3 linked regions of the Alligator mississippiensis genome follow. The protein of the gene in region 1 interacts with the protein of each later gene in a pairwise test. Links are inferred from orthologs where the notes say so. Each region holds a gene or a part of one and is shown on either strand. Other genes may lie near its edges.

Region 1 (10,007 bases):
CTTACTGACTTGTCAGGGCTGTGCACCTGCAGCAGACGGGAGGAGAGAGGAGAGAAGACAGAGGAGAGGTTAGCCCGGACCGCAGGGAGTATCGCAGCAAAGCCCGGAAACACGCCGCCCCACAGAGCCCGCCTGGCGCCAGCACCATCCAGGAGGGGCACAACCCCTTACTGCTCCATGCACCCCAGCAGGCCAGGGTCAGGCGTTGCCAGAGCCAAGCACCACATGGAGCCTGGCTCAGCCGTCCCCATGCTCCTCACTGCATGGACACTGGCTGGGGACGGCTGCAGAGCTGAACCCCCTCGCTGCACATGGTCGTACAACCCTGTCCCTGCCCCGGGGCCGCAGGAGCCTCCCGGCGCGAGCGGACAACGGCGCAAGCCACGTGACCAGAGACCCAGTCCCAGCCGCCCTCCTCCAGGCACAAGGTCTACACCTGGCTCGGATGCAGCAAAGCCCCACTGCAGGCCCAGCGAGGACGGCGGGAGTCCTGGGCAGGCCCCAAGCCGTGGCCCCAGACGCACTCCCCAGGCACAGATGCACGGCGCCCCCCACTGGACGGTACTGTGCAGGGCCGGCAGCAGGCCGTGCACACGCTGACAGGACCCTCGGGCACCCTGGCCCCGGCAGGCGGGGGGAGCTCAGACCCTGGGCGCAGAAGTTGGCGGGCAGCAGCATCTCTTGCAGTGCAACACCAGCACCAGCCACCAGGGGGCACTGGACACCGCAGGCATGGTGGGGTGGGGTGGGGGGCACACACGGGCACGGGTCCAGCATGCAAGGCCGTGGTGCGAGGGCAAGCCCAGGCCGGGCCAGGGCGCCTGGGGGGCAGCGTGATGGACAGCAACGTACCCATTGTGCTGCGGGGCGCTGGCAGGCGCCAGGGGCGTGTACGTCACGGGTTTCGTCACTGGGGCGGTGCCGGCCCCGAAGGGCCGCGCAGTTTTGTTGAGGGCGGAGCTGGGCGCAAAGCTGTATTTCAGGGGCTCAGAGTGGGGGGGGGCATCCTGAGCAGGAGACAAAACATGACAGCGGCTGGCGACGCGGGCAGCAAGCGTGGGCGCAGGTGTGGGGCACCGGCTCGGGCACAAGGCCACATAGGATGTGCCCAGCCCCAAGTGGCTCTGCAAGGCAATGCCCCCACCTCAGGGTCAGACCCTGCATGGGCAGTTGGGGGGGCCTGGGAGCTGCACAAGTGCGACACGGCAGCACTAGGAAGCCAGGAGCAGCCATGCAGGGCAGCGCAGCCCCTGTCCCTGTCCTTGCCCGCAGGACGAAGCCAAGCTCACCCGGTGCTCGCAGGCAGCAAGCAGCTGTGGCAGCCGGCAGGTGCCCAGGCCTTGCACCACCAGCCCCACGAGTGGAGCCATGGGAAGCTGCCTGCCACGCCTGGTCCTGCCAGTCAGGTCTCCCGGTGCCCCCCAGCCCGCCCAACAGCCCCCCGCAGCCCCAGCGCCACGTACCTTCTGTGGCTTCCCCACGAGGTTCTGGGCTCTGCAAGAGAAGAGACGGAGCCCAGGTGAGCAACAGCCGCAGGTGCGGGCTCCTGCAGCCTCAGCACCACGGTGCCCAGCGTGCAACGCTCTACCCTGTGCCCTGGACACAGGCAGCTTTGCGCTGCGAAGCCACCAGCTGGACCCAGCGAGGGCCAGACACAGGCTCCTGCTTGAGCCACATCTGGGTGGGATGCCCCAGGCCTGGGCAGTGCCCTGGGCATACAGCCGCGCTGGGTGGTGGGGGCCCAGCTGATGGGGCTGTGGCAAAGGGACCTCCGCAGCCTCCCATTGACCAGCCGGCTACTACCAGCAGCAGATGCACACACGCCTGCAACTTCCCATAGGCATGCTCCTGCCACCCCTGCACCAGGCCACAGCACCCTGGTCCCTACCGTACCCTGCTCATGCCCAGCCCAGCACCCCCCACCCGTGCCCTGCAGGGGAATGCCCGGGCTGGCACCTGCTGAGGCTGAGGCTGAGGCGGTCGCCACAGGCGCGGATCCTGTTCTGCGCCTCGATGTGGGTCAGAGCGCTAGCGTTCTCGCCATCGATGCTCAGCACCCAGTCGCCCACGCCCACGCCGGCCTGCGCCGCCTTCCCACTGGGTGTCAGCTGCCGTGGGCACAGAGGGAGAGAGTCAGGCGGGCAGTGAGCAATGCTGCCCCGTGCCCCGGGGAAGCCAAGTGCCCACACTGCTGCCCTGGCTGATGCTGGGGACACTGGGCTGGGCCCGTTGGGGCAGGTACCTACTCCCAGTCCTCCCCTCCCCCCCAACACATCCTGGGGGCTTTTTCCTGGCCTGTGGCCCGGGCCAGGCCCCACCTTGGCACAGAGACCAGGCGCCCCCCGCGGCTCTGCCGGCCGAGACAGGAGCAGCTCCGTCCCCGGGAGCCGGGCGTGAGTCAGAACTTCGCCGTCCCGGCGCAGCCCATGCATCAGGCCCGGGCCTGTTGGAGCCTGAACCACAGGCATTTCCGAGGCTTTTGTGTCTGGGCTGGGGGGAGACAGGCGCTCCCACCCTGGCCAGCCCTGGTCGCTCCCCCATCTCCTGTCCGCGGACAGACGTTACCTCATCCCAGCCGTGAGCAGCGATACCCGCTGGGGCTGCCCCCCCGCCCCCCCGCGGGAAAGTCCAGCCCAGCCGGCACCACCACAGCAGCCTCGGCCCCGGGGCGGAGGGGCAGGGGCCAAGGCCAGGATGGGGCAGCTTCGAGGCAGACGTGTGGTGCTGCCACCCCGGCCCCGGGGACCTGAGAGAAGCATCTTCTGCGGGGGCCGCAGGCTGGGGTGGGAGCCCAGCAGGGCTCAGCCGGGTGCACGGTGGGGGGGAAGGGTGTGTGGGTCCAGGCCACCCCCTACCCCCTGCATTGCCTGCAGTGCGGCCGGGCCTGCTCTCACTCCAGCTGCCTGGGCCGGGCTGGGGGAGCTCCAGGCTCCTGGACTGGAGCCAAATGCTTCTCTGGCTCAACATGGACATAAAAGGAGCGAGCCAGATCCCGGCGGCGGCCCCCAGGCCCCTCCCCCCGGGCCAAGGCCCCCGCGATGCCGGCACCGCCCCCTGCGCGCCCCAGCCCCGGAGCCTGCGGGGATGCTGGTGCTCACAGACCCTCGCTCCCAGCCGGGCTGGGCCCGGGGGCCATGGCAGAGCCCAGCCCGGGAAAGCTCTCGGCTCCAAGCGCCGGAGAAGCCTGCGCCGGGCCTCCGGGTGGCCAGGACCCCCCGACCAGGCAGAGGAGCTGCCCCTCGCGCACTCAGCCCAGCCCTGCAGCCGCATCCTGCTCCCGGCCAGGCCCCTGCCCAGCTCTTCCTGGCTGGCTGGAGACAGGCCTAGGCAGCGCCCAGGGGGAAGCAGGGCCGTGTCCCCGCAGGACCCCAGCCCTGCTGACGACTAGGGCGTATTTTTATCCTCTCCTGCCTGAGCTCAGCACTTCTCCCTGGCCCCCAGCGCCACCTCTGACAGCTGGGATGGGGCTGCAGGCCTGCCCCACCTGCCCCCGTCGCTCACACCGCGGCCAGCCCTGCACGCACCAGAGCACCTGCCCTGCCCCTGCCCCATGGCAAGGAGCACGAGTGCCTGGAGCACACGTCCCCGCTGGCTGTCGGGGGGTCCTGGGGCACTGCCTGGGCCCCGCTGGCTGGGAGGCGCTGTACTAACGAGCTGAGGAAGGAAGCCTCGGCTACGCCTGTGACCGTGCCCACCCGGCACAGCCGCCTTCCTGGGCAGGGCCAGCTCCGGGCAGGGCAGCGCTGTGGCTGCTGGAGGGAGCTTGGAGCCAGGGGCCTGGCTGGGAGCGACGCGCCCCAGAGGAAGCTCAGACCGGCACAGGGCGCGGTGCTGCGGAGGGGACCCGGGGGCTGTGTCTCTGTGGGCACGAGACGTGCCAGCCCACCCCACCTCCTGGGCAGCCTCTTGCCCCCCCACGCCTGCGCCCCGACCCCAGCACGCAGCCAACAGCCTCCCCCCGTGGGCAGCTGGGAGCCAGGCTGCGCGAGGCCCGGGGAAGGGCCGGGGCCCTCGGCTAGCTGCCTCCCGCAACGAGCCCCAGCCTGCGCGGGGCCGGGGCCGGGGCCGGGGCCGGGGCCGCCCTCCTGCCAGCTGGCCGCGGCGGCCGGCGCATTCCGAGGCTTATAAGGCAATGGCTCGGCGGGCCCGGCCGGCCGCGCTTACCCGCGAGATGGAGAGCGGCATGTTGAAGTCCTTGCCCCCCTGCAGGCGGAAGCCCCAGGGCGCCGGCCCCTCCAGCACCACCTTGTAGGCGTCCATGTCGCTCATGCCTGGGGAGGGAGACGGTGAGCGGCGGGGCGCGGCGAGCCGAGGCGGGGCCGGGAGGCGCGGGCGGGCGATGAGAGGCGTGTAAGACGACACCGCGCCCGGCACTGCCGGCACTGGGCGACCGCGGCGTGCCCCGGCCCCGCTCCTCCGAGCGGGGCGCGGCGGGACCGGGGGCTCCGGCCGGGCAGGCTCCCGCCCCGCCCCGCCCCGGAGCCGCAGCCCCCGCGCACCCCCGCCCGCCCGCGGACGCTGACCTGCGGGGCCCGGCCGGGCGGAGCCGGCACTGCGCGACGAGCCGAGCCCGACACCGCTGCGCTCTGCGGGCCGCGCTCCCTGCGCCGGGCCCTATGTACCCTCGGGGGCGGGGCCGGCCCTAGGCCCCGCCCCGCCCCTACTGCGCTTGCGCGGCTGCGGGCCCCGGGCCCCCGCGTGCGCCCCCGGACCCTCCTTCCCCGCCGGGCCGCCGCCCGGCTCCAGCGTTACCGGCCCGCCCCGCCCCGCCGCGCTCAAGGAGACGCTGCCCGTCGCTCCGGCGCCGCCTTTATTTCCTGGTCGCGGCGCCCGAAGCCGGAACCGGCGCCGCACGGAGCCGCCCCGAGCCCGCGGGGTGTCGCTGTCCGGGAGAGGCGCGCCCGGCCCGGCCCGTCCTGCCGGGAAGCGCCGCCGCCCCCCGCTCGGTCCCCGCCGCCGGAGCCCTCGGGACGGCCGCTGCCCCCGCCCTTCTCCCCGCCGGGCGGCTCAGGCGCGGTCCGCGGGGCTGGGGGTCCGGCCGGGCACCGGCGGCGCCGCCTCCCTGCTCAGCAGCGTGACCAGCCTCCGGCGGAGGCCGTTGCTGGCCGTGGCCTCGCCGTGGGCCGCGCTGTCGGGCCCCTCCGGGTCCTGCAGCCGCTGGTAGCGGGGCTGGAGCACGGGGCTGGGGGCGCCGCTCCGGGCCGCGGCCACCATGCAGCTGTTGTCGTAGATGGGCGCCTCGGGGCCGCTGCTGCCCTCGGGTGGCTCCCGGCAGCTCCGGTGCCAGCTCGCGGCCGCCTGGTCCAGGCCCCGCCCCGGGCAGTCTGTCTCCGGGCCGCACAGGTTCTCGTACAGGTGCTCGGAGGGCTGCTGGCCCCAGGCCTCCGGCTCCGGCTCCCGCCGGACGGCAGCAGGCAGGGGCTGCGGGCCCCGGGCAATGGAGGCGTAGATGACGGGGAAGGTGTGGTCCACCCTGTCTGGAGCCCCTGGCTCCCGTGAGCAGGGCTGGGGCGGAGGGTGCTCGGGCCGGAGCCAGGCGGGTGGCGCGGCCCCTCCGTCCTCGAGGGCCCAGGACGCTGATGGTGCCCCCTCGGGGCTGCTGGCGGGGTGCTGCCAGGGCTCCTGGTTCCTCTGGCGGGCGATGGCAGCGGATATGAGACCACAGATCTCGGCAGCGCGGCCCGTGCTGAAGGTGAAGACGCCCTCACCAGAGTCGCAGCGGCGGCCGGCCTCGAAGGACAGCATGGCCTGTGGGCGGATGGGGGTAAGGGGCAGGGAAGGCCAGGGCCCCAGGACCTCCCCCCCCCCGACACTGCAGGGAAGAAGTGGGGCACGGGGTGCCAGGCTTGTGGGGCCACACAGGTACCTGGTCCTGGCCGAACTTGCGCAGGAAGGGATAGGGCCAGGCAAGCAGCGGCTGCCGCGTCTGCAGCTCCTTCAACACCAGGCGCTCGGGCAGCACGGCCAGCAGGTAGCGCCCGCTCAGGCCGCAGCGGGTGGAGGCCTCGGTCCGGAGCAGCAGTACTGGGAACTCGTTCGCTGGCGGAGGAACGGAGCCCACGTTGACGCTGCAGCCCTGGCTCCTGTGAGGGCATGACAGCCCACCCCCCACCGGCTGTAAGGCGTGTCCACCCATGCGCCAGGGCAGGCACCAGCCCCCCGCACCTACGTGCGTGCCAGGACGAGTAGATCGTGTTCTCCTCCATGTGGAGGCCAGAGCTGGGCGAGGCCCTGTTGCTGCCTGGAGCCATCTCCTTTGTGCCCTGAAAAGCAGAGAGGTGAGCCGCGTCCACCGCCTGGGGAGCAGAGCTGCAGGGAGCTGGAGGGGGGAACACATGGAGCTTGGGCAAGTCCACAGACTTGACCACGGGACCTCCAGGGGCTGGGGAGGGGGCAGATTGGCTGTAGCACCACCTGAGCCTCCCACGACTCCGTGGTGCTGGATGCAGCCGCCCGCCTGTGCCACCCCCTGGCCAGGGTCCACCATACCTGGAAGGCCAGTTGGCAGAGCTGCGCCACCCACTCGTCAGGCTGCTCGGCCGCCAGCACGTGGCTCTTGTCCAGGGTGCGGAGGCAGAAGGCGGCCGTGCCACGGGGGCAGCCCTCACTGCCGGCAGGCCCCACGGACACACAGTCGGCCAGCCGGAGCACCCGGCGTTCGCCCCGGCGTAGCGATGTCTTCTCGGGCCCCGAACCGTCCCGCACCGCAAACTGCTCCATGCGGGCCACGCCTGACGGGCCAGCCGCGAACAGCTGTGCCCGCACCTTCTTCCAGGACCTCTGGGGGTGGGTAGATGAGCAGGGCTCAGCACCCTTGGGCCAGGGATGGAGCTGGTAGGATGCTGCTTGGAGCCACCGGCAGGCAGGGAAAGGAGACCCTCGTGCAGGCACCCTGCCTCTGCAGCACCTGCTCAAGCTGGAGCCTGCGCCTGCCCTGCGGGCTGCGGGCTCAGCCCGCCGGCATCTCACGCCCTTCCTCTGGGCCCAGCAGCTCCGAGAACACAGCCCAGGCATCCGGGCTGGGAGGCTGCGGCCAGCCTCGTGCTGCCCCTGGGGGCCCGGCAGGTGGGGTGGACCAGCTGTTCCAGCCTAGGCCCTATGCAAATCAGGCCATTTAGGGCTGTTTGCGCCCACGACCAACAGCAGCCCTGCACCTGACACATGGGCCAGGTCCTGCCAGCACCACCCACCCCTTCCTCCCGGGGGAAGCTCTGCAGCAGCCAGCGGGTCACGAGGTGAGGGCACGGGGCAGCTGCAGCCTCCTCTTGCAATCCCCACGTGCTGGCTGAGGAGAAGGGGCAGACAGGCCCAGAAGCACCGCCAGCCATGGCTGCACTGCCCACCCCATGTGGGGGCTGCACCTGCCTGCTCCGCTCCACCTGTGCTGGGATATGGGGGCTGCCCCAATGGGCACCGTGCTCCCAGCCTGGCACTGGTCCAGCTGGGCTGCGACCCAGCCTAGGCCGGACCCGTTTCCAACCTGAGGCACAGGGTTGCAGCTTGCAGGAAGCATCTCCCGTGCCCTGCAAGGGCACCCGGGCTGGGCAGGTTGCTGGGGGACCTGGCACCTCCAGGACAGGAGGCAATTGAGGCTCTGCCTTGAAAGCCCGCCTGCAGTTGCTGCCTATGGTCAGACCCTGACCACGGCTGTAGGGACCGTGGTGCTTGTGGGGTAGTTGGCTGCAAACCCAAGCCACATGAGGGCACTGGGCCCCAGTCACCATCCCCATTCCACTTGGGCTGCTGGCAAGCACTGGTCCCTACCCACCCTGGGACAACGGCAGAGCAGCAGGGCTCAGCCCCAGGGAAGACGAGGGGCTTCCACACCTGCCCCCCTCACTCACATGCACCACGTTGTACTCTGTAACAGCTTTTATTGCCCTTTGCGCCTGCCGCAGGCAGCACCCACAGCAGAGTCAGGAGCACCAGGACTGCTGGTTGTGGCTGCCTCCCCGGCACCCAGGCGTGGGGCCGAGACCACACGCCCCTCCCCCTGGCCAGCAAGGCCTGGAGCCCAGCCCTGCCCGTTACCTTTCCAAATTTGAAGTGCTGGACATAAAGGATCCCATCCTTCACGGGCCCCTCCATGGCTTGAGCTGCCTGGGTTGTGGAGCCGTTGGCCACGGGAGCTGGGGCTGCTGCCGCAGGAGTGCAGGGGTAGACTTCCCCTCTGCATCCACTTCCCCTTTCTGGCGTGTGAGCCGTGGAGCTGGCCCTGCCTCCGCCAGAGCAGAGCAGTGGGGCAGAACGGGCAGGCGGGGCTGCGAGTCTGCCCTAGGCAGGCTCTCACAGCCCCTGCTTGAGGCAAGGGGGGTGGTGCTGAGGACTAGGACTGCCCCTTCCTGCCCAGCCCAGCAGCCCCAGGAAGATGCTGAGCATCCCCTAGACTGGGGAACAGTCCTGGCAGGGCCAAGGGCATCCTGGCAGAATCTCTGTGCCAGGCCGAGCCGAGGCGGCCTGGGCTAGCAGACTGTCCCTACTGCCCTCCAGCTCCCCCCACCCAAATCCCCCTGGGCCGGTGCTGTGCATCTGGCCCAGAGGCTCCCACTTGCTCAATCCCAGCATGTCAACAGTAGGGCTGATGTAAGAGGCTGTTGCTGCATGGCACAGCACTTCCTCCCAGCACCAGAACTGCAGCCCGGCTCTGGAGCAGCAGGGAATGGGCAGCATGCCCCAGGGGCCTGGAGCAGGCCGTGGCGTGGCTGCCCGAGACACAGGGACCAGCCGCCTGGCGCTAACATGGCCTTCCTGGTGCGACTGGCACTTGCCCAGGGAGCAGCCACCTTCCCCTTCCCCCACCCCTTCACAGCATCTGGGCAGGGGCTGGTGCCCGGCGGGCAGCCCTAGAAGTCCATGGAGCTGTGGGCCAGGTAGTCTTTGCGGCCGATGTTGCTGACTTGCTTGGTCTGCATGGCTTCCAGCTTGGGGCAGTCTGTGATGCGATGGCCCAGCCCCCCGCAGAAGGCACAGCCCCTCTCCCCTATGACAGGAAGAAGGATGAGTGAGCTCGGGCAGGGGCAGGGCACTGCCTGGGATGGGGGAGCTCCCGCAGCTCTTGGGAGAGTAACAGCCCCAGAAGTGCAGCCACTGCCAGAGTGCACGGCTCAAGCAACCTGCAGCTGCTCTCGCCCTCCCCTGCCTCAGTGCCCCCTTCCCTGGACAGGACGCAGCCCTTCCTAGGGCCAGAACGGCAGCAGAAGTGCCACCTTCCCGCAGCCTCTCACCTCCGATGTCCAGCATGGTCTCATCCCCGCAGTGCAGCACCTGGAGCACAGGTGGTACCTTCTGCTTGGCCTCCAGCAGCAGCGCCTTCAGGTCCATGAGCACCGACTCGTCTGGGGGCAGAAGGGCAGCTCAGCACAGGCTCCAGGCACAGATGCCAGAAGGAGCCTGCAGTGCAGGGCACACTGAACGCAAGGCTGTGGGGCAGAGCAGGGCCCCAGGTGGGAAGGATAGCAGAGTGCCCCCCCATAGTGTAGCACCTCATGGTGTGGGGCACAGGGCAGCTTGACCACAGAAGAGGAGCACCCTCGATACCCTCCCCATCCAGACCCCGGGCCAACACTGCCTGAGCCACTGGGCTCCTCATGGCTCCACCAGTACCCACCTGGCACTACCCCATCACTGGCTTGGCAATGCACACGGGGTCAGTGGAGGACGCCCTGCCCAGCTCAGTGTGCCCCAGCCCAGCAGACCACCCCTCATGCTCCTCACCGCAGGCTTTGTTGATGAAGGTGGTGGCGATGCCCGTGTTCCCCGAGCGGCCCGTACGCCCAATGCGGTGCACTGTGGGAAGACAGGTGTGGTCAGGGCCAGGGGACCAAAGCAGGAGCCTGAACACGGACCCCCATCTCCCACCACCTGGGAGCCAAGCCCGAGTGTCCCTCCTCCACCCCATCACAGTGCCGGCACAGCAAGCTGCCCACACCCGGTGGGGCCCACAGGAAGGCCCAGAATGCCTACTCACCATAGTTCTCGATCTCCTCCGGCATGTCATAGTTGATGAC
Region 2 (10,980 bases), on another chromosome or scaffold:
GCCCTGAACTCAGTAGGTCCCTAATTAGTTGAGATGTTCAGATAGTCAAAGAATAGGAATCATTATTTTTCACTACTGTTGAGTTCCTGAATGCTAATGATATTTAATTACTGCTTATTCCTGCCATCTAAATAGGAAGACAATGAATGCACATGTAGGATGTGAGACTATTTTTTCCAAAAGGTGATATTCTGCAACTTGGGAAAGAAGATCAATTAGCGTTCCCATAGAATCCTGCTTCTTACTGCTGAAGTAGCAACTCTAGTAATATACTCCCGTAAATCATACACACAAGGAAAATAATTGATTGGGGAGATGGATCCCACTGTTCTAATATAATAAATAGCAGTAGAGCATCAATGGTTACTTTGTTACAGTGCCACAATAGGGGCACTACATAATGTAGTTGAGGAGCACTTTCATTATTAGCCCCAATTTTCAGACATACATAACTTCTTGATGAAATTTGTTGTTATTTCACCTACTTATTCCCAGCCCAAAGTAATTTTAAAGAAAAGTTTGACAAGATTTTATATATCTGTTTTTAAAGGAAAAAAGTGAATCGTCAATTATTGTGATTTAGAAAATAGAGACCCTATTTCACTTGCTGCTTTACCTCTTCTGTCCCTCTAAAAATTAGGGCATAAGGGACTTGTGGGTATATTTGCTCTTTCAGTGTCTTTATTTTTAGTTTTCCAAAGTTTCCAGTTGGTATAAGCAAAGCACACCCAGCATTTGAACATAAATCAGTAAGATTATGTTGAGGCCTATAGGGAAAGGTCATATTTCCCTAGGTGAGTAAATACAGATGTAACATGGATTTTAATCATGCAAATATGTGCTACATTTTAAGTCTTTTCCACTTTTGTATTTTTAAGTCAATTCAAGTAAATTCAACACAATGTCAAAAATTTTAAACACAAAAATCAGGATATTCAAAGTTATGATTTCCCAACATAATTGGATTTTAGTTACCCTGAAAATACTGTACCATCTCTTTTTAATAGTGTGCTTGGTTAATTTAGAACTTTGTCGTAAAATATAAAAAGGCATGAACATACTCTCACACACGTTATTGCAGTTTGGCTTCATAGTTTATTAACAAAACTTCACTTTAATGAGGAACCTTTGAAAAGATTAAAGTGCCATCTGTGAATGCAATGCAATCTATTAAAGAGAACTAATACATAAAATACATAGCATCTATACATTTTCTATATGCTGTACACGCACAAACCGCACATAAGGTGGAAGATCGAACCTTATACATTTCTGGCTGTCCTCCAACACTTCAAACACTCTATGAAGAGAAAAAGTTCCCATTTGGCTGTCATGCTTTTGTATCCACTGTCAGTGCTAGAGATGGTCATAAACAGGACAGTTCCATTTTAATGCTTAGCTTTGTACAGGTCCTGTAAATCTTGCAGAGCATCCATGAACATAGTAACTACCATAATGGATTAGATCCAAAGTCCACCTCATTCAGTCTGCATCTGGCCTATACCAGATGCTTTAAAGGAAGGTGGCAGTTATGAGTTAATTTGCCCCTCACATTGGGTCTCATCCTGATCTCTCACAGTTGGAAATAGACACAAAGCTTACAATTATCTTCAAAACAACGTTATTAATTATAATAACTCTGGGCTTTCTTGTTACTCATTAAAAATGTATATTTTCATATTATATCTTGCTTGTGCTCAATGATTCCCTGTAGCAATTACTTGCAGTTGCATAATAAAGAGGAGAAGACTGAGTCACTGGGATGGGAGGTGAACAATGAACAATTAGAACTGTCTGCACTGCTGAGCTGGCCAGTGCCATGTCACCAGCAGTACAGCCAGTGACACTGCTCTGTGTGTCACTGCCACCCAGAGTGCTCAGGAGTCATGTTATGACTCTGATGATTTCAGTCAAGTCCACACATGGCTTTTCTATTGGTATAACTATTTTAGTTCAGAGAGATGAATTTTTACAAAATAATTATCCTAGTACAACCTCTTGTGCTCATAGAAAGTTGCCTTACACAAGATACCTTCTCTCCTCCCATCCAGAAAATCCTATATCTCTTGTAAGTCTGACCCTTGACCACAAACTATGCCTTGGGATGATCCTGCCTTCTGCAGGGGGGTTGCACTGGATGACCTCCTAAGGACCCTTCTAGCCCTATTTTTCTATGATTCTATGACCAAAATGTAATGTTGACTGAGACCAATAGGTAATGTACACATCTTAGACCTACATGGAAGTGGTATATCAGCATCATCACTAAGGGGAGAAATTGTTTTGTCGTTGCTATGTTGTTATATAAAAAGCTCAATATTGCTAGTTCTTGCAAATTTATTCCAAAATCTCTTGATTTTATTATTTCCCTTAAAGACCATGTTTCTGGATTCAAGTGATTATATAAGAACCTCAGCTTTCATTAAAACAAAGTAGATGGGATATCACGAAATCTTCTTCATTGTTAGAACAGTGAGGCAATGGAAGAGACTGTCTAGGGAAGTTGTGGACTCTCCATTGCTGCAGTTGTTTAAGAGGGTGTTGGACACCCACTGGTTGGCATAGCTATGCCTATGTTCTACTATGGCTATTTCCTATGCTTCTGGCTTTGCTGGTTGCCTCCTCCCCACCTTTCTGCTGTCTGTCAGGGAGTTTTTAAGTCTTTCTCAAAGGCATTAAGTGTTGGTTACAGCCAAAGCTGTGGATTTTGACTGGGGTGTGCCAGTGCTCCTGCTGGGACTTAAACCCAGAGGTTCCTGGTTTAAAAGTCTTGCCCCTCAGCTCAGGGTCAGACTGATCACCATATCTGGGGTCAGGAAAGAATTTTACCCCATGGTCAGATTGCTTTAGGCTACGAGGGGTTTTGCCTTCCTCTGTAGTAGGAGGCATAGTCCTTTTTCTGGGACCTCTTGAGAGTATATTAACAAACTTTTATAGAAGCAGGATGTTGGCTGCTGCTGTTCCCTGCTTTACCTGTGGCAGGGTAGGGTGTTATGCATTGTGTTGTGTTAGGGTTGATAGTAGTTTTACAAAGAGTTCAGATTATGGATTTGTATAAAATGGTTTGGATAAGGATGATTTTGCCTCAGGCAGGGGATTGGATTAAATGACTTCTGGAGGTCCCTTCCAGCCTCACCTCTCTACATTCTACAATTCAAGAGTGTAGATCTGAGGGTTATGAAGAAAATCTTCCTAATGTGACCTGAAAGTACCCTAAAAGCTTAGAAAATAGGGGGGCAAATAAAATAACTTCAGATTTACAATTTTTTTAACTGCATGATTTTAAAACCAATCACATGGTTTTTGTATCTTGACTTGTGATTTGGGGTTATTATATTATAAGCTTATTTTGTAGCTATTTTTGTTAGTTACAGAAGGTGCCACAACCTGAGAGCGGTAGCTGGCTCTTGGCAAATTATGTATGTCCAGATACTGGCCCCATGTAGGTTATTAACAAACCCTGTTGTATAACTGTTTAGCCAAGTGACTCAACTTTTCTGGACTCCAGGCACCTGCCCAGAAATTTGTGAAATGAGTGGCACCCCGTTTAAAAAACTAATTGGTATATTCCAGGGCTTACCTACTTGTAGAGGAGCTGGGCAACGGGGTAAGGGATCGTCCAGGATGAGCCTGTGCTTTTCCTCCTTCCTCACACCACCCTAAAAAGGATCTGGTGGCACTCCAGGTTGCTGAAGCACTCTGGTGGAGAATTACTGGTTTGCCTTATTTAGCAAGCTCTGTTCTTGTTTGTTTGCATTATATAAATGTATAGCTTTATAAATATATATTATTATCTGCCTCCCAGGTTCCTAGACTCAATAAGTTTCCATAGTATAAACTCATCATATAGCTGTACATGCATGCATATGCACTCTATAATTCAATAATCATGCATGCATATCTAAAAGTAAAATTTAGCTTGAAAAATTACCACCGTCATTTAAATTAGGTGTACGTTTGGCTTGGTTTGCTGGGCTAGTATACCAATATATTAAACCCTGAGCAACAGAGCTATGCGAGCCAAAGTTTGTTATGTTAACCTAGCTTTCAACATTTTTATTTTGAGTGAGGTATATTTTCTGAAGGAAATTAAGCTCTGCTTATTTTCTTCTTCCCATTTTAACTTTTCCTGTATTTTCTTTCCCTTCAACCAAGTGATAAGCTGGCTCTCTGGAAATATTGACATTCAAATGCAAGCTCCTGATTATAGTTATACAAATACTTCTCTTGGATAAGTTGTTCTGCCCCACATTGAGTTCTTTTACTATCAGTACTTTCCATTCTAGCTCAGAAACCAAGTAACACTCTTTTCCTTTTCAGAGACCTTTCCAGCCAAGGGGAGGAGAAAGGAAATGCCCTGAATTTTACACTGACACTCTAATCTAAGTGTAACTGTCTGTCACTCCCAACAGCCAATCATATCACTTTGGAGGATGGATTAGGACACTTCCTTATCTGACAGTAGCCTTAACAAACAGTTGGCACTGCCTATGAGGGAACAAGCTGCTGCCCAATGCACATGGAGGGTGGGATTTCCTTCCTATTGTCTGCCTGCCTCAGTCCTGACTGCTTCATATGATTTTAAATCTCTTGGTGCTGCTCCCTAATTGAGAACTTAGCTATCAAAGGGGAGCCTCTATATCAAATACTGAAATAAATGCAGATAAATGCATGTACAGGAGCAGAGGCTAAACAGGGCCAGCTAATGTGGCTTCAAACTTGCATCTTAATGAGCACATAAAAAGTCTTTTCAATCATGCTAAAGCTAACTTGAGTGAGCCAGAATGACTGAAAGTCATATATATTTCTTTGTCAATCAAGACAAGGCCTAAAAGCCAAGTCTTGCAAATGCTCAGTCACTTGAAGCTGGATCATACAAGGCGCTGATCCTGATCCTCATGCAGGCAGAGGGAAGATCAATCCCTTGAACACCTAATGCTTATGTCCTATTTATATGACAACTTTTATGCTAGAGTTTTTTTCCTCCCAGGTTATCGACTGTCAATCACAGTAACATTTATTGAAGACACTTCCTGAAAGTTTGTTTCATGACACAAATATTTGTGCTTTGCCAAAAATAAACATTTGTATCCTGGAACAAACATTTGGAGAGTGTCCAGGCTAACCTTTACAAGTGCGTTAACTACCACAAGTTATTTGGCAATCATTTAACTCCAGGTTAAAACCTCAAGGGTACAACAACCTTGAGGGCCGGATCACACATGTACAGATGAATGTTCGAGTCGGACATATTGTAGGTTGAGTACTTGTATGACAATTGTCCCAATAGTTTCCGAGGGATGAAAGGTTTGATCCTGCTCAAGCTGGAGATGATTGCAGTTTTGCCCTCTGACAATATTACTGCTATGAACATGGGTATGGCCTATGAACAAACTACTCATGGTAGTAAGGGTTTATAGGCTCAGACCCTAAATCCTTTTCTCTTTTTTAATATTTATGGCTCAGAGAAAAGTATATGCAGTGGGGTAAGCAGGCAGATGAATCCTATTGAACCCGAGTGTCTAATTTCTTTGTACTTCTTTTGTAATCAGGTACCTACACCATTAAAAATCCTAACCACTAAACATAAATTACACCCAAATGCTCAAGATGAAATTGCAGGCTTCTTGTAACCATACCAAAAGCAAATGCCTCATAATGTATACTTATTATAAAAACATTGACTTTAAAATGAAACCTATATTCTTAATAATAACAACTAATAGTAATTTGGTATCAGCCAAATTCCTCAAGTAATATTAAAAGATGAAAACACAAAGGGTGTTTGCTGATCTATCTGTTGTAGTTATCTTAGATATTCTAAATTGGTCTCTCATATTGCAATGAACAACAAAACTGAATTTATATTACTGCTACACAACAGATTACATTATTTTTATTTTATTTGGGAGATACTAGGCCCTGATTCAGCAGACCTATGCATTATTGTATTATTAGTCCTAGTCACTTCAACATGGTTAAACAGTTTAGACTATTCACAGCACTTAAAACTAGGCATGTATGTAAGTCTTTTTTTTAGATCAGGTGTTAAGATTGTGAGTCTCTTATGAGAGTATTCCTCATTTATTTCAAAATAACTATTATTCACATGCATAAATGTTTAGAATGAGAGTCTGTATCAACTGCAAGAAAAAGATCTGGTTAAGCCTGTAATTATGATGCAACTTGCTTCTTTCTTTTAGTTTATAAGGTGCATCACAATAATTAGAATGGATGTAACTAGCCTGGCATTAATATTAATCCAATATGCATTTAGTACATCTGTAGGCACCCCATAAAATACATACTCTTTCTCCCTCTCAAAATAAGTACACACACATTTTACATAAAACCACCCAACGGGCTAAATATGAAAAATTACAGACACTATTTGCTACTTGTTTGTTTTTAATATGTATTGTTTTAGTAGGCCTGATCCCACATATACATCTAGAACATGGGTGCCTGAAGCTGAACTGGAAAGTAGCATCTGCTGTTGCAGACTAGGGCTGTTTGCCTGCCCAAAGTCAGTGGGCACTTTTGTGGGGTGGAAACAAATCCAGAAAGTCTCTAAATTGCATTTGAGGAGGGAAGGACTGGTGTCAGCAGGGCCTGCTCTGTGCCACGCTCACCGCCCTCATCCTGCCATGGTGGGGCCCTCCCCGCACACCCACAGAAAAGACTGATTGGAAGAAGGCAGGAGTTTCAGATCTGTTTAAAATGTATCCTATTAAAAAAACAACAACCCATGAAATAAACGAAATAAAAGCAGCAAACAGCAACTCCAGCAGACGCCACTAGAGTTCTCCTTCTCCCAAATATCCCCAGCACCATCCTAAACCCTGTTTACCCCAGAAGCCTGAACTGTGGACAGACAGCAGAGGAGGAGAGAGAGGGAGCGAGCGCGAGAGAGAAAATTCAGACACAATAAAACTCTGAGGGGGGGGAGAAAATATGTGGACGGAGGCGGCGGCGGAGGCAGCGGCCTGGGGAAAGGATTGAAAAGTTTCCCCTGGCTGAACTTCTCCCCCCCCTTTCCCTTCCCTTCCCCTCCCCTCCCCTCCCCGTCTCCTCCCGCAGCAGCAGGAGCGGCACCGCACAAGGTGAGCGAGACTTTGGCGGCGGCGGCGGCGGCGGCGCGGGCGGGCGGGCAGGCGGCGGGGCCGGGGTGCAGCCCGCGCCCGGCCCGGCCCGGCCCGGGGCCCAGGCAGACGCCGCGTCTCCTGCCGGGTGCGTTTTTTTTTTTTTTTTTTAAATATGATGGAGGATTATAAACATGGCGCCTTAAAAAAAAAAAACCTACCCAATCCTGCACACACACGCTGTGCCCCGGCGGCGGCGGGGGCCTGCCCGAGGCTGCGGCCGCCTGGGGAGGGGGCACGCGGGGACCCGGATTAAATGCGGCCGCGCGTGTGTGCGCGCGTGGGGAGGGGGCTATTCTTGAGGGGGGGTGTTAACTCGGTTTAATAATAATGCGGGGGGGGGGCATTATTAACTCGGGTTATTCACGATCTGCCCCCCCCCCGGCCGCTGGTCCGGGTTGTTGCAGCGGCGGGGGCCTCCGCGCGGGCCTGCTGCGAGCGGGGGAGCCGGGGGCTCGAGTGAGCGCTGAGGCCGCGCGGGGTGTGGCGCAGCCCGGCCACAGCCCCGCTCCCCCCCCCCCCGCGGGCCCAGTGCCTGCTTCGCTCCCCCCCGTGTTAGGGGAGGGGAGGGGAAGGGAAGGGCCCGCCCCCCCGCTCGGGGAGAGCCGCCCGCCTGAGGCAGACAAGGGAGCGAGGCCGCGGGGCTCCCAGGCCGCGGGGCCCGGCCTTGCGTGTCCGCCCCGTGCCCGCGGGACACTCCTGCCCTGGGGGCACCGCCGCCTCCTCCCCCGGGGCAGCTCGTCCCTCCTCCCCAGTCCTGCTGGCAGCCAGCAGCTGCCTGGGCCTCGGGAACAGGGGTGATAACTAGGGCTGTGGGAGGCAGGGCAGCCTGAGGGACTTGGGGAAACTTTGGCATTTGGTCCTGGCCTCTTTTGTTCCCGGATCCCTCCCTGAGCGTGAAACCTGTTGTCGCCGATCTTGCCCTGGTGCCAGTTTCAAAAGACGTTTCCTTCCTGCTCGAGAACCAGGATTTTGGGGAGCTACGGACTGGAAGAAAGGAAACGTGGAGTATAACGTTGGCCGGGCGTATCGCTCCTGGCTAGTTTGGCCTTGGGGTGTTTCGCGATAAGACTTTGCGCGCCGCTCTGGTCAAGAGCTAAACTAGAACAGCTTTTTACGAAGGGAACCCCTGGTGCCATGGAAAGGGTAGAAACCTTTCTCCCTCCCTTTTGTTGGCTTTGCTCAGGTGCTGTTTCGTAAACAGCCTTGAATTCCTTCAGGGAAAGCTTGGAGACAGGTGAGGTTTGGTGGGGGGGGGTTGGGAAAATGCAGTTTCTGGTTTTGGGTTGCAATCCCTTGAGTTTTCCTAGTCCCTTATCACTCACCATGAAGGACCTGGCACCTCTCCACACATTTTGTTAATAATTTTGTTCTCAACCGTTCGGAGCATGTTACAGAAAGTCTTGAGGGAAGGAAAGCATTTGCTAACTGCTGTTTTATATAAAAAAGTGAAAGTATACTCAGAATAATTCCCTGCGTAGGTTTACATTTAGTGCCAAGCTACAGTTCAACAGACTCGTGCTCTTTTGACTGGCTGTTTTGATGGGAGAAGCAAAGGACTTGCGGAGCCCTAGCAAGGAGGAGCATTTCTTTTTTTTTCCTCGTGTGTTCCAAACTAAGCTAATGGTGACTGAAAGAAATTACTCTCGTTTGACTGTTTTGTCTGTTGTGAGGTTTATTAGCACCTCTGTCATCTTGAGCAGATAATACATTATAAGCACCACTACAGTTGGCACCACTGAGGCAGTTTTAGACAGCTGAAGGACTGAATGAGTTTAGAGAATGGCCTACACCTAGAGAATGCGCCTCCAGCTCACTATTATTAGTTGGATAGCAGGATGCAAACATGCTGCTATATGGAATAATGTTCTAGCTGTGGTGATCCAGGGAGTGAGCGAGTTTGAATTTTTGAATTGAGTTTGAACTGCATTTGTTCAGTAATTGGACCAACTACATAGTTGGGAGTGAGGTTAGACAAGCTTTCAGACCCGAGGAAGCCTATTTTGTGCCCAAAAGCTTGTCGAGTATCTCTCTCAACAACATGATTTTTCAATAAAAGACAGTGGTAAACGCATCCTGCTTCTCTACTATGTAGAGTCAGCTTCCAAGTGGGGGTGTGTGCATGCATGTGCACATATATAAAGCTTTTTTGTTTAAATTGAAATGGGAAAGAAATACTGTAGTATTATCCTACTGGTTACCCTTTTTCTACAGTGTGGAACTGTATAATATTAGTTTCTTCTGTAGGGAAAAAATAAAAAGGATGAGACCTACGCAGCATACAAAGTTCTATCAGTTTAACCACTAGTTAAACTGATAGATAGTTATCTGGTGTGATAGTTAAAACAGTTCTGATAGTTAAACTGGTGCGATGTTAAAACAGTTCAATTTTGTATGTGTACACTCTTGGTTCTGTTCTGGTTTATACTGGTTTAGTTTGTCTGTATCAGTTCTTCTGATAAAACTGTGTATGTATAAAAGTCCTAAGTTACACTAGATATCTTTAAAAAAATATCCTGCAAATGTGAAGAAAGCGTTCTGGACACAGTGAACTAGTATTTTGAGTATTTTGACTTAATTCACGCGTTTTATGATCTTAGAGTGTCATCTATCACTGTTTAGTGGGGGGAGATTGTTAGAAAGAAAAGGTGCAAGTCTATACAGACAAGGCACCTAAATCTGTCTGTAACAAACCTAAATAAACTTGGTCTTATTTTTCCAAAAACTTCTCAAAGTTGCCACCTTGAAAGCCAGGCCTAAATTTTGAATTAGATGTCTATTTTTAATCAACTTAATTTGACATTTTTTGCCTTAATATCTACAATCAGCATTTTGTTCTCATTCGTGGTTACTCGCTTGCATGTAATACTTGATCTTCCAACCCAAGTAGGCCCAGAAGGCTGTAGATCCTAAGGTCACAGCTAGCTAATCTATCCAGAAGATAGGATTTCAATAGAGACAGTTCAGGCCCCTAGAAACAAAATACCCAATAAGCAGTTTAGGCTGCTCGTATTTTTTTAACCACACGTAGAGGACTATTTAGCTGAAAGTAAAATAAAGTTAGCATGGTTTCATTTTGCTGCTGGACAGATACATTCCCACAAATATTAGTACTCTGTTGACAAAATTCTGCTGTAAAACAAATCAAGTTATAGCGCCAGATTCATGTACCAGCTGTGAGTTTGGCCCATGGAATGCTGAATTTTGTCAAAAATTAATTACTGCACAGATACGTGTGTAGTTTTTTATTTGTTTGTTTGTTTTAGTTTAAATTTCCTGAACCGGTCTATATAAATGATTGTTTTGCAGAGGCTGTGCCTATAGTCAAGTGTACTGCAGCTAATTTCTGTTTGTCTATGTATTCAGCATATGGTTGTGCAGCAGTTGATTTCTATTGGTTGTACTTTTTTTAAAAATTCAGTATGTAATATGAAGTTTCTTTTAGCTTTTTCATTTTCCAGTGGAGATTCAGGGTAACCTTCTTTATGCTACAGGTTTACATTATCAGAAGTACGGTTTGTGGCTTGGGTCATCTCTTGCAGACAAGACTGCAAGCTGAAGCTATTTCTTTTACAAGCATTTCTAAGAGTAATTTTTTTCAAGAGTCCCAAAATATAGTCAGAATCAAACACTCCCTTGCTATTTGAAGCGTGGAGCCCTTGGCACTTGGGCAGCATAACATATATCATCTTTTATGGAGCTCATATATTTCACTTTGTCAAGGTTTCTTGAGCTGTTGTGAACAAAGGTTGTTTTTATCGGGTCTGAATGGTTTTTGCTAATTTGGATATAAATTTGGATCCTGATTAGGTTACTTGCCACTCTGAAAGTTTGTTGT
Region 3 (10,487 bases), on another chromosome or scaffold:
AACTGAACTAAATGTATTTGAGGGAAAGTCCAATGTGAGCCATGTAAGCTACAAAGGTGACTGCTGATGTGGGGTCTGTCACAGTTTGTCCCTGGTCCTCCTCGGCACACAGGTTTACATTGCAACAAAGAAGTGTAAAGAACAGATGTTTTTGTAAGATTGTTGGGCTGAGGCCATTGTCTACAGTATCCCTGGGGACCATATTTCCCTTTAACAAGATGAAAGGTCTGTTGGACCCAGGGATCTTCTGAGCTGTTAGGGAATGAAAGGCCTAGCAAAATTAGTTGTTTGTGAAGGTTGTACAGGTTTCCCTCGATTTATGCTATATATGTGTTCCCAGAGAACAGCACATAAATCGAATTTGCATAAAGCAAACCCACTTTACAAAGTAACAAATGAGGATAGGTTCCCATAGTGGTGAGGGTGTTGCCCTGTGGGGTCAGGACAACTCTCAAGATCTCAATATTGCACTGTTAGACAGAAAGGTGTGTCACAGTTGCACATATACAAACACACAAATCAATTAGGTGCATACACACACACACACATACACTCAGGCACATACACATCCAAACCAGTCTAGGCACATGCATACCTATCACCAATTCAAGCACATACACTATACACCCCAAAAGTTGGACAAAAATCAATTGTCCATACCCGCACACTCAGTACACATACACAGATCACTAATTTGTATATTATGCACACAATGACATATATATACACATTCACCAGTTCACACATACAACCCACATACACACAGGTAAGTTCCTAACTTGGATGAGACAGTGTGTATGTGTGTGCTTGGGGTACCTGGGATACTTGGGGGAAGGTTAAGGTGAGAAAGAGGGTTAAAGTATGGGGAGTGAAAGTTGCCAGAACTGGGATTAGAACCGGTGGACTAGAAAGAAGCTGGCTGAGGAACTGAGGCTTGGGGTTACTTAAGATCAAGTAGCCCCAGGGTTACTTGAGGTCACTGGTGCATAGGGAAAAAAGCCTGATGGCAAGGAGGAGACAGCCAGGAAAGAAACTGAGGCAGAAACCTGGGAGCTCAGGGGAAAAGGCAGTGGGGATAAGACAGTGGCAAAGAAACAGGGGGTTTGGAGGCAGAGAGGAGCTCAGGACAGGTGCTGGAGGTGGCAGTGAGCCAGAAGCAGAAGAGGGAGAAATGAGACAGAAGTTAGAGGGGCGAGGAACAGCGATTGGAGCAGGACTGGACTGCAGTAAAGCAAACCCAACTCAGGGGTCCGAATAAAAGTTTTATTAAACAGACAACACACAACACAGCCCCATGAAGTTATTGGTGCACACACACACATGAGCACTCACAATGGCAGCAGGAGAAAGAGACTCAGTGGAAGGGTTGGAGTCCAGGTAGGGAAGAGAAACAGAGTCCAAGTCCTTGGTTGAAGAGGGGGTGGAAGGTGATAGCTACCTATCCAGGCTGGAAAGGGGTCCTTGATCAGTAGGTATTGTCCAGACAGGGGTCGCCGGCAGGGCCTCTGGGTGGATAGATGGTGTGGCATGGTGCTGGTCCAGATGGAGAGGGCATCCCAAGGAGTCAGTCTTCACTACCCCTTTTATGGGGCAGACTACCCCTGATCTTCTATGGGGAGGGCCTGTCCAGGCAAGGTCAGTCTTGTTCCAGTGAGTTCCAGGTGTTCTTACTGAGCATGTGCAGCCTGGCACAATGGTGGGTTGCCTCATCTTTTGTTTCTTGAATGCTGAGGGTGTTTCCAAGGGCTGGGTCCTTGGTCCAGGTATTGGTGTTGATGATTTGGTCATTCAGAGGGAGCTATTTTTAGACCTACTGCCATTGTCTCTCAAACACCCTCATTCATCCCCCATTCATTCAGAAACCAAGTTACATAGGAGGAGTAGGTATGAGTCATAGGTCAGGGGACACCAGATGGAAACTTGACATGGCTTATGCTAACTTACGTATGTAGGCCTAAAACAGTAATTACACAATATAAAAGCAGTAAAGAAAAAAATCAATACGGACATAATAATTATCACTTATAAAACAGTGGATACCTATATCAAAATAGCAGGGCACTTATTTGCGAAGAGGGGAGAGAAAAATAAAACTTAATACCTAAAATAAAATGTTAAAGTGTATCCTACACCTTAGCTTACTTATACTTATCTATAGGGAATAGAGAGGGAGAAAAAAAGTCAGAAATGGTTGGGGAAGGGGAGGGAATGCATTTTAAAATAAATTTAAAAAAAGAAAAACTGGGGGTTTTGCTACAAGGGAGGGAAGGAGGACTAGGGAAGGGACGGAGGGAGGGGTGCTGCTCCCGGGGCTGCACAAGGCAGCAAAGCAGAAGGAACAGAGCGGCACTCACCCCAGCCCCACATGCAGTGGCCCCAGGAGCAGCCGGCACCGGCTGCTGCAGCTGCTAGGCTGCACCATGCTCTGCCTGTCCCCACTCACCTCTGCTCCTGGCCTGTGCTGTGCCCTGGTACAGGCAGTTGGTCAGGGCCACTGCAGCCAAGGCTGGGGTGAGTGCTGCGCCCCGCACCACCCGGGGCTCTGCTTGTCCACACTCACACCGGCCCGTGCTGGAGTAGCCCCAGGAGTGGTCGACACCAGCTGCCTGCACCAGGACACGGCACAGCCCAGGAGCTGGGGTGAGCCCAGGTGCAGGGGGACAGGCAGAGCATGGTGCAGCCCAGTGGGTACAGGCCACTGGCACCGGCTGCTCCCGGGGCCGCTGCAGGTGGGGCTGGGATGAGTGGGGCCACGACCCTTTCCCCTCCCCCCACAGACTTACCTGCTTGGGCGGGAGGGCATCTATGCTGATTGCATAAGAACCTTGCATATAATGAATTATGGGTCTAAATATGCTCATCGCATAACAGCAAATTCGCATCTAAAGAATCTGCATAAATTCAGGGAAACCTGTATAGCTTTTCAGGGGCACCCAGGGAACGAGGAAAAAGTTTGGATCCTCGCCTAGAAAGGGATTTAATTGCTGGCTAAACAGGGAGAATGTTGTGGATTCTGTGATCTGCCCAGAAGCTATAGGCAATTCTTTGTTGGGGGGGGAGAGTGTGCATAATTTCCTAGGGTTTAAAAAAGCATGCTGAAAAGAAAGAAATTCCATTACGTAGTATCATATTGATGGTCACACAACCTATCCTCAGCGCTGTAAGTGCCAACTCTACCACACAGACCTTTGTCACTCGAGTAAGCAGAGTATTGAAATGGAGAATTGAAAGCAGTATTATATTAGGCTGACATCCTATGCTTATCAGCCTGGGGGAGAGGGGGGAGACAATTTGTCTGTGTTTTTCAGAGATGTTACAGACAGCAAAGAACTGATGAGAGTCCATGATGAGCTCTTAGGCTCAATTCCAGGATGTGGTGGGTATGACCATAACCATCTCTTCATGCTTGAACTATTTTTGCCTCTTCCCCTAGAACTTGTCCCTGTCCTCTCTTACGCACTCCTTGCTTATCCAGTTCTGGTGTCCTGTCCTTTCTTCATGCCTCTCATCCCAGTCATTTCTCTTTGTCCAGACAATCTCAGTTTCCATAACTAACCTGCAGGGTAGCCTGTCCTATCCTAAGGAACCTGCGGTCGCAGGGGGCCCCGCATCCAAGGGACCATGCCCCACTTGCCCTCCACAGCCTCTACCATGTTTAAAGGGCTGAGCAGGGGAGGCGTTCCTGGCTCTGCTCCCGCCCCAACCCCAGGGAGGGAACCCAGGCGTCCCCAGCACATGCTGCCCGCACATCGCCCCCCACCCTGCAGCACAGCCCACACACACGCAGCCCATCCCCGACTGGATCAGGGGATCACGGGACCCCAAAACTATATCTTGTACAGGGCCCAAAAATTGTGGGCTGTCCCTGCTTCCTGTCCCAGACTCTTCTCCGCTCCCAGCCAGCCTCTTTGCCCAGACATATCCCAGCTTACCCTCCCTCTCATCTTTCAGTTTCCTTGCCAGACCAGTTCCAGTCTCTTCACTTCTGCTCCATCAAACTTTCTTGCCCCACCAGCTTCCTTATCCTATATACTCCTTTTTTTTCCTCGTCTCCTCTCATACCTTTCTCTCTTACATTTGAATCAGACAGGTTCCATCTCCATGCTGCACTGATGATAGCTGGGGGTGTCTGAGAGTGCAGGGATGGCAGGCTCCTGTGGACCCCCCTCCCTGTCTCAGCTCAGAGCACCTAGGAACAGGAATTACAGGAAGAGTCCTTCCAAGCCTAGCACAGCCCTGAGCTACAGCATGATCTATGGGCTGGCGGTTTCACAATCCTGCTTTATGCAGAAGTTGGGAGGGGATGGAATATGCTCAGTTTGGCAAATGCAAGCAGTTATTTCATAGATTTCATAGACATTAGGGCTGGAAGGGACCTCAGAAGATCATCGAGTCCAGCCCCCTGCCCAAAGGGCAGGAAGTCAGCTGGGGTCATAGGATCCCAGCAAGATGAGCATCCAGTTTGCTCTTGAAGGTGTTCAACATAAGTGCTTGAACCACCTCCGATGGCAGGCTGTTCCAGACCTTGGGGGCTCAGACAGTAAAGAAATTCTTCCTTATGTCCAGCCTGAAACGGTCTTGTAGTAGTTTATGACCATTCGACCTACTCATCATCCCTTGGGGCGCTCTGGTGAACAAATGTTCCCCCAGATACTGGTGGTCACCCCTGATAAACTTATAGGTGGCCATCAGATCACCCCTGAGCCTGCACTTTTCCAGGCTAAAGAGCCCCAGGGCTCTCAGCCTGTCATCGTAGGGTCTGCTTCCCTGACCTCTGATCATGTGTGTGGCTCTTCTCTGGACTCTCTCAAGCTTCTCCACATCCTTTTTGAATTGTGGAGCCCAAAACTGGTTGCAGTACTCCAGCTGCAGCCTCACCAAGGCCGAGTACAAGGGAAGAATGACGTCCCGGGATTTGCTTGAGAATCATGTATGGATGCAAGCCAACGTTTTGGTCGCTTTACTAGCCGCAGCATCGCACTGCAGGCTCATGTTCATCTTGTGGTCAATGATGACCCCCAAGTCTCTTTCTTGCATAGTGCTAGCCAACATAGCACTGCGAGCCTATAAGGATGCTGTGGGTTTTTCTTCCCAAGGTGGAGAACCTTGCATTTATTGGCGTTGAACACCATCAGATTCTCGTCTGCCCACTTGCTGAGCCTGTCCAGGTCAGCCTGGATCACCCGCCTGTCTTCTGGTGTGGATGCTTTTCCCCAAAGTTTGGTGTCATCGGTGAACTTGGCCAGTCCGCTTCTGACTCCAGTGTCCACATCATTAATGAAGATGTTGAACAATATGGGTCCAAGGACAGAGCCTTGGGGGACCCCACTGGTCACAGGACACCATGATGAGTGACTTCCATCAATTACTACCCTCTGAGTCCGACCACGGAGCCAATTTTCCAGCCAGTGGATCATGGAGGACCCAAGGCGACAATTGGCCAGTTTCTCTAAGAGGTGATTATGGGAAACCAGGTCAAAGGCTTTTTTGAAGTCAAGATATATGACATCAATCTCTTCTCCCTTGTCCAGGTGATAGGTCACCTGGTCGTAGAAGGAAATGAGATTGGTCAAGCAAGACCTACCCGCAACAAACCCGTGCTGGCTATCCCTTAAGATGTTGGCGTCGGCCAGTCCATTAAGGATGGCCTCTTTAATAAACTTTTCTAAGATCTTCCCCGGGATAGAAGTCAGGCTAATGGGCCTATAGTTAGCCGGATCCACTTTCCTCCCTTTCTTGAAGATAGGCACCACATTGGCCTTCTTTCAGTCTTCGGGCACTACACCAGAGCGCCAAGAGTTTTCAAAGATCCGTGCTAGAGGCTGGGCTATGATGCTCGCCAGCTCCTTGAGTACCCTGGGGTGAAGATTGTCAGGGCCGGCTGACTTGAAGGTATCCAGCTTCTCAAGATGTTCCTTCACGAAGTCAGCATCAGTGGAGGGCAGGGGATCACCCTCACCCAGACTTCCCTGTCCCGTAGCGGGCATGGGCGTCCCATGGGACTGATGAAAGACTGACGCAAAGTACCTATTTAATAGGTTGGCTTTTTCCTGGGCGTCAGTTGTCAGTTGCCCCATCTGGTTCAGCAGGAGTCCGACGTTGCCCCTGCTTTTCCTCCAGCTCCCCACATATCTGAAAAAGGACTTTTTATTGTCCTTGATGCTCAAAGCCAGCTGGAGTTCAGTTGCAGCCTTGGCTTTCCTGGTCTGCTCCCTATAGGACCGGACCAGTGCAGAATAATCCTCCTTGGAGGTGACTCCCATCCTCCATCCTTTGTAGGCCTTTCTTTTTAGCCTCAGGAGGTCTGCTAGGTCCCTGGAGAGCCAGGGGAGCTGCTGTGCCCTCTTGCTGCCTTTCCTCTGAGATGGAAGCCAAATCCATTTCATCTTATGAGAGCCAAATATGCTTAAGGAGAACAAAATAAAGAATTTCTCCTAACCATGCATGAATAGTGATTTTTCACAGGTTTATAAACTTGACCAAATCTGGGGAGATTATCTTGGGGATGACTAAGGGCACATTCCTGGTACAAAGAGCAGCTGCTGTCAAATGTAAAGTTTCTAATCCAAAAACATGAGGGCAGTAAAGCATTACAAAGAAAAAATTTAAATATTTTAACAAAAAACAGCAGAATATTGTTCCCTAGCCTCAGTCTTGAAAATGCCTCAACTGTTTTGGCTGAAATTTTCCGAAAGAAAAGAAATATCAGCCTGAGGCAAACAATTAGCATGAAAAAGTTTAGTTCAAGTGGTTAAAAGTTTCACAAAGTTACAAGCAACAGGGTTACAGAGAACAAGGTACCAACAAAACACTGGGCCACTTTAAAAATAAAGTAGTGCCACTAGTCCTGATTATACTACGTATTCAGTATCCCAAATTTATCCTTGGAATAACTAAGCCAATGGGGTTGCACCTGCTTAAACCATCAGTGCCCAGGGCTCATCATTCTAGGTCTGAATCTTACTCAACCTTTTGGTGTGGCAGGCAGGTTAAGCAGTAGGTACGGGGCCCATCCCCAGGCCAGATTGGAACCCACATGGCAGGATTGGGCCCCATACCACCTCCCTCTGCTCCTGAAACAGGATCGGGCCCCTTACAATTTCCCTAAGGGTCTGCACCATTTCCCTTGGTTCCATGCCACCCACACTACCTCCCTGGGGGGTCTATGCTGCCTGCACTGCTTCATTAAGCCTCCCTGGGGTCCCATGCCATCAGATCTGGACCCCACACTGCAGAATTAGGCTCTACACCACCTCCAGTCAATGCACATGTACCCAGATCTGGCCCTGGGCCATATCTGCCCACTGATCCAGCATGCTATCCAGCTCATGAGGCTCCCCATGGCTTTGGAAATTTGGCAGCAGGGGAGCATCAATTGCTGTCACTGCTCGCCCACTGTCAAATTTTTGCACCCATAAGGAGCTCTATGGGCCAGATAGCATGGCTCCTTGAGCCGGATTTGGCCAATGAGCCAGGGTAGAGCACCCCCACTATAGGCTGATCCACATGGGTCACTTGTATGGAGCCCTGTCATTTTTAACAGAGCTCTGGGAAGACTTAAATATACACAAACCAGCTTGAAGTTTGGGGACAATGAAGCCCATATGGTGCAACCTCTCCCTCAGCAAATCTCCAACCCCCAGAGAGAAATTTCTGGTTACAATCTTTATTGATCAGGAAGCCACATCCCTAAAAGTGTTGAAAGCACCTGGGAGGAGCACAGGGAGATGGCTTGTTACTATACAAGTAGACTTGGCATACTTCGAGATTATATATATATCCATATCTATATCTAGATATATAAAATCATTTTGATGGTTAACATCTATGTTTATTTTTAAATGTTCATTTTGATTTTTATTGATTGAAATTATCAGGATTGCACAAAATTACGGGTGTGGGGGCAGACAATTTATTAATGACAGTATACTATTATTATAGTGCAGTTTAATCACCCATCATGACAAATATAACTACTGTAGGACTGCTGCCAGCTAAGCAGCAGAGCTGCCATCAATCCCAGCTCCACTTGCCCAGTAGCTCCTTTGTCCACTTTGTCACTTCCTCTTCCTTTGTTCCCAGTGCCCTGGGGTTTCTGAGAGTTGCAGTCCAAACTAATAGCACAGTTCTGCAGGGCTGTTCCTCCTGTTCTCACACAGTCCATCAGCCATCATTTTTCTTACATCCCCTTTCTATAAATGTTGATTATTAATGATGGCACTATTTTCCCGCAGTCTGTGAGTGTGAAGTGAAATAATTTATCAACATTTACCAACAAAAGTCAAATCCTGCCAAGCCTATGTATAAAGCAACTCCTAGTCTCTCTCAAACTAAAACTTTGACCTCAATTTGCTATAACAAGAAGGAAAAAAGACCTTGCATAATTGAAAAAAAAGAGCAAACAAATGAATTTTTCTCCCAATGACTAACATCTAGGACTCATTCCAAAGGAATGTAAATGGAAGAGTGCACATTGGCAAATGAATATGAAAAACTAAACAAATATAAAGGTGTATAGGGAAGATTTAATTTGATGCAACATACATGGAGAGAGCTGTAAGAAAGTGAAACTATTATGTCGGGAAACGCTTCCTACAAATTAATTAATATCTAAACAAATGGACTGAATTCTGACAGGAAGACTATAACCAAAGTTTAAACAATGACCAACCTATCAACTGATATCTAACTGAAGTATCACTAGAATTGACTTGGTATTTCTAAGTTCTGGCACACTCCTAAGTATGTCCAAGTTCTAATACTTAGTATTATTTATTTAGGACCTGATTCTGCAATTCTCACTCAAGTACTTATTGCCACATGTAGTCCCTTTAAATTGGAGAATTGCATCCTTCACCACATATCCCATAAATAGGGACCTACCTAAATAGCAGTTTTGTGGATTCTGTGGAAACTACGAAATCCAGGGTAGACCATGAAATCTGGGGGCAGGGGGGTGGGGGGGGCAACGACTTAATAACAATGTTTTTATTAAGTCTTTCCCTCCTGGGCATGTCTCACAGCCTACTTAGGAGGAACAGTGCTGGCTGGTAGGGCAGCATGATGGGGGCAGCAGATAAGACAGTGGCTGCCCCAGGGTCTCTCCGCCAATCAGAGCCAAGAGGCGGGGCTGCCACGGAATGCTCGCAAAATGGGCTCTTGATGCCAGGTCAAAGTCACAAAGATGTCTTTGTCTCGCAGAAAATTAAGTGGGTCCCTACCCATAAGTGTCAGCATCTACCCATTGCCTGGAAAGTTATGCACCTCACTTTTGGTGGTGCATAATTAATAGCCTACAGGCTCTTTTTATTTAAATTATCGTGACGCTGGAGTCTTTTTAGTTAGAAAAGCCTTTCCCCACTATTCTGTGCAGCCTTCCTAGATTTTCTAGCCACAAACACATCATTTATTAAAAATACACATCAACAGAAAGAAACACAGTTTACATCACATTCATTCTGTGGAAAGCACATTGCTCCAAGCCTGGCATTTTAGAAACTCCTCTGAGTTTTATTTTACTACAGAATGATTCAATCGCCATTTGGCACCTATTTTGCAATAGATGACAGATGTCAAAGCACTACAAAGACCTCTGAAAAAGTCAGACCCTCAGCTGGTTTCGATGTCAAACTCTTGCCAGAATGAAGGATACATCTATTGCAATTGTCATATCACTCAGATTTTTCCTCCCAAAGCTGCTTTTGTTGAGACATTTTCTAAGCATTAGCTGAAATGAAGGAAAGCAAGGTTTTATTTGGATTTTTACCTTATGAATGAATAATGATGTACATGTGTGAGAGAAAGAAACAGATAAATTACAAAAGATGAAAGCCAGGATACGTAGAACTGGAATCAAGGGAACCAGTGCTGTAGTTAATGGAGACTGAAGCAATTTGTTTAATCAAGCAATCCAAACCTGTTACAGCTTGCCAATTTCAAGGACTGCTTGGTGCAACTCGGTGCCCTGGAGCAACTTAAGAGCAGCACAGTGGCTGCTATAGCTTATGTTAGAGTAATACAGTCCACAAAGGAGTGTAGGCCAAGTGAGAATTAGTATAGTGGAACAATGCTCCCCGACATGCTTCCAGCACCATAGTAGAGGATTTCCACTAAAGGAACTTTCTGCTGGCACAGAGCCGAGGTGGAATTTTCAGAATTTAACTCCTCGGCACTGTTGAGTTATGTAAAGAGCCAAAATTGTAACTGAGCGTCTAGGTCTGTACTGACTAAAATAAGCTGATCATGTAGAAGAATGTCAGATTTAGACCAAAAGGAATTTGTATCTAATTCTTATTTTAATTTTGATTTTTGCTGAAACACAGACTCACATACCAGCACAGCTCGACTTTTAAAAAAGGTATTTCCAAGCATAGTGCTCTTCAGTCTCTTTTCCTTCCCAAGTGTGCTCCCCCCCGTGTGTATGTGTGTGGATAGTTATAGATAGATAGATAGATAGATAGATAGATAGATAGATAGATAGATATCTA

What was found.
Region 2: the proteins of PDLIM7 (region 1) and ZMYND11 interact in a two-hybrid assay, tested with the Homo sapiens proteins (2 studies listed by BioGRID). The link is inferred for Alligator mississippiensis from reciprocal best matches to the Homo sapiens genes PDLIM7 and ZMYND11.
Region 3: the proteins of PDLIM7 (region 1) and GEM interact in binary tests that used the Homo sapiens proteins (3 or more experiments, as listed by UniProt). The two-hybrid records come from large-scale screens. The link is inferred for Alligator mississippiensis from reciprocal best matches to the Homo sapiens genes PDLIM7 and GEM.

What each region holds. Positions count from the first base shown.
Region 1 is NC_081832.1:79,406,604-79,416,610, reverse strand, and holds the start of PDLIM7 (PDZ and LIM domain protein 7), read right to left. Parts: upstream 4,627-10,007; 5' UTR 4,524-4,626; intron 4,272-4,523; 5' UTR 4,270-4,271; coding exon 4,165-4,269; intron 2,109-4,164; coding exon 1,957-2,108; intron 1,495-1,956; coding exon 1,464-1,494; intron 1,008-1,463; coding exon 853-1,007; intron 27-852; coding exon of another isoform or gene 10-26; intron 1-9. Other genes in the region: DOK3 (docking protein 3), read right to left, coding at 5,008-5,748, 5,867-6,039, 6,170-6,263, 6,490-7,014; probable ATP-dependent RNA helicase DDX41, read right to left, coding at 8,844-8,980, 9,225-9,335, 9,715-9,786, 9,968-10,007. UniProt on the Homo sapiens protein: May function as a scaffold on which the coordinated assembly of proteins can occur. May play a role as an adapter that, via its PDZ domain, localizes LIM-binding proteins to actin filaments of both skeletal muscle and nonmuscle tissues.
Region 2 is NC_081828.1:200,872,486-200,883,465, reverse strand, and holds the start of ZMYND11 (zinc finger MYND domain-containing protein 11), read left to right. Parts: upstream 1-6,854; 5' UTR 6,855-7,103; intron 7,104-7,134; exon of another isoform or gene 7,135-7,230; intron 7,231-7,988; exon of another isoform or gene 7,989-8,379; intron 8,380-10,980. UniProt on the Homo sapiens protein: Chromatin reader that specifically recognizes and binds histone H3.3 trimethylated at 'Lys-36' (H3.3K36me3) and regulates RNA polymerase II elongation. Does not bind other histone H3 subtypes (H3.1 or H3.2).
Region 3 is NC_081826.1:43,629,734-43,640,220, reverse strand, and holds the start of GEM (GTP-binding protein GEM), read right to left. Parts: upstream 4,127-10,487; 5' UTR 4,078-4,126; coding exon 4,076-4,077; intron 1-4,075. UniProt on the Homo sapiens protein: Could be a regulatory protein, possibly participating in receptor-mediated signal transduction at the plasma membrane. Has guanine nucleotide-binding activity but undetectable intrinsic GTPase activity.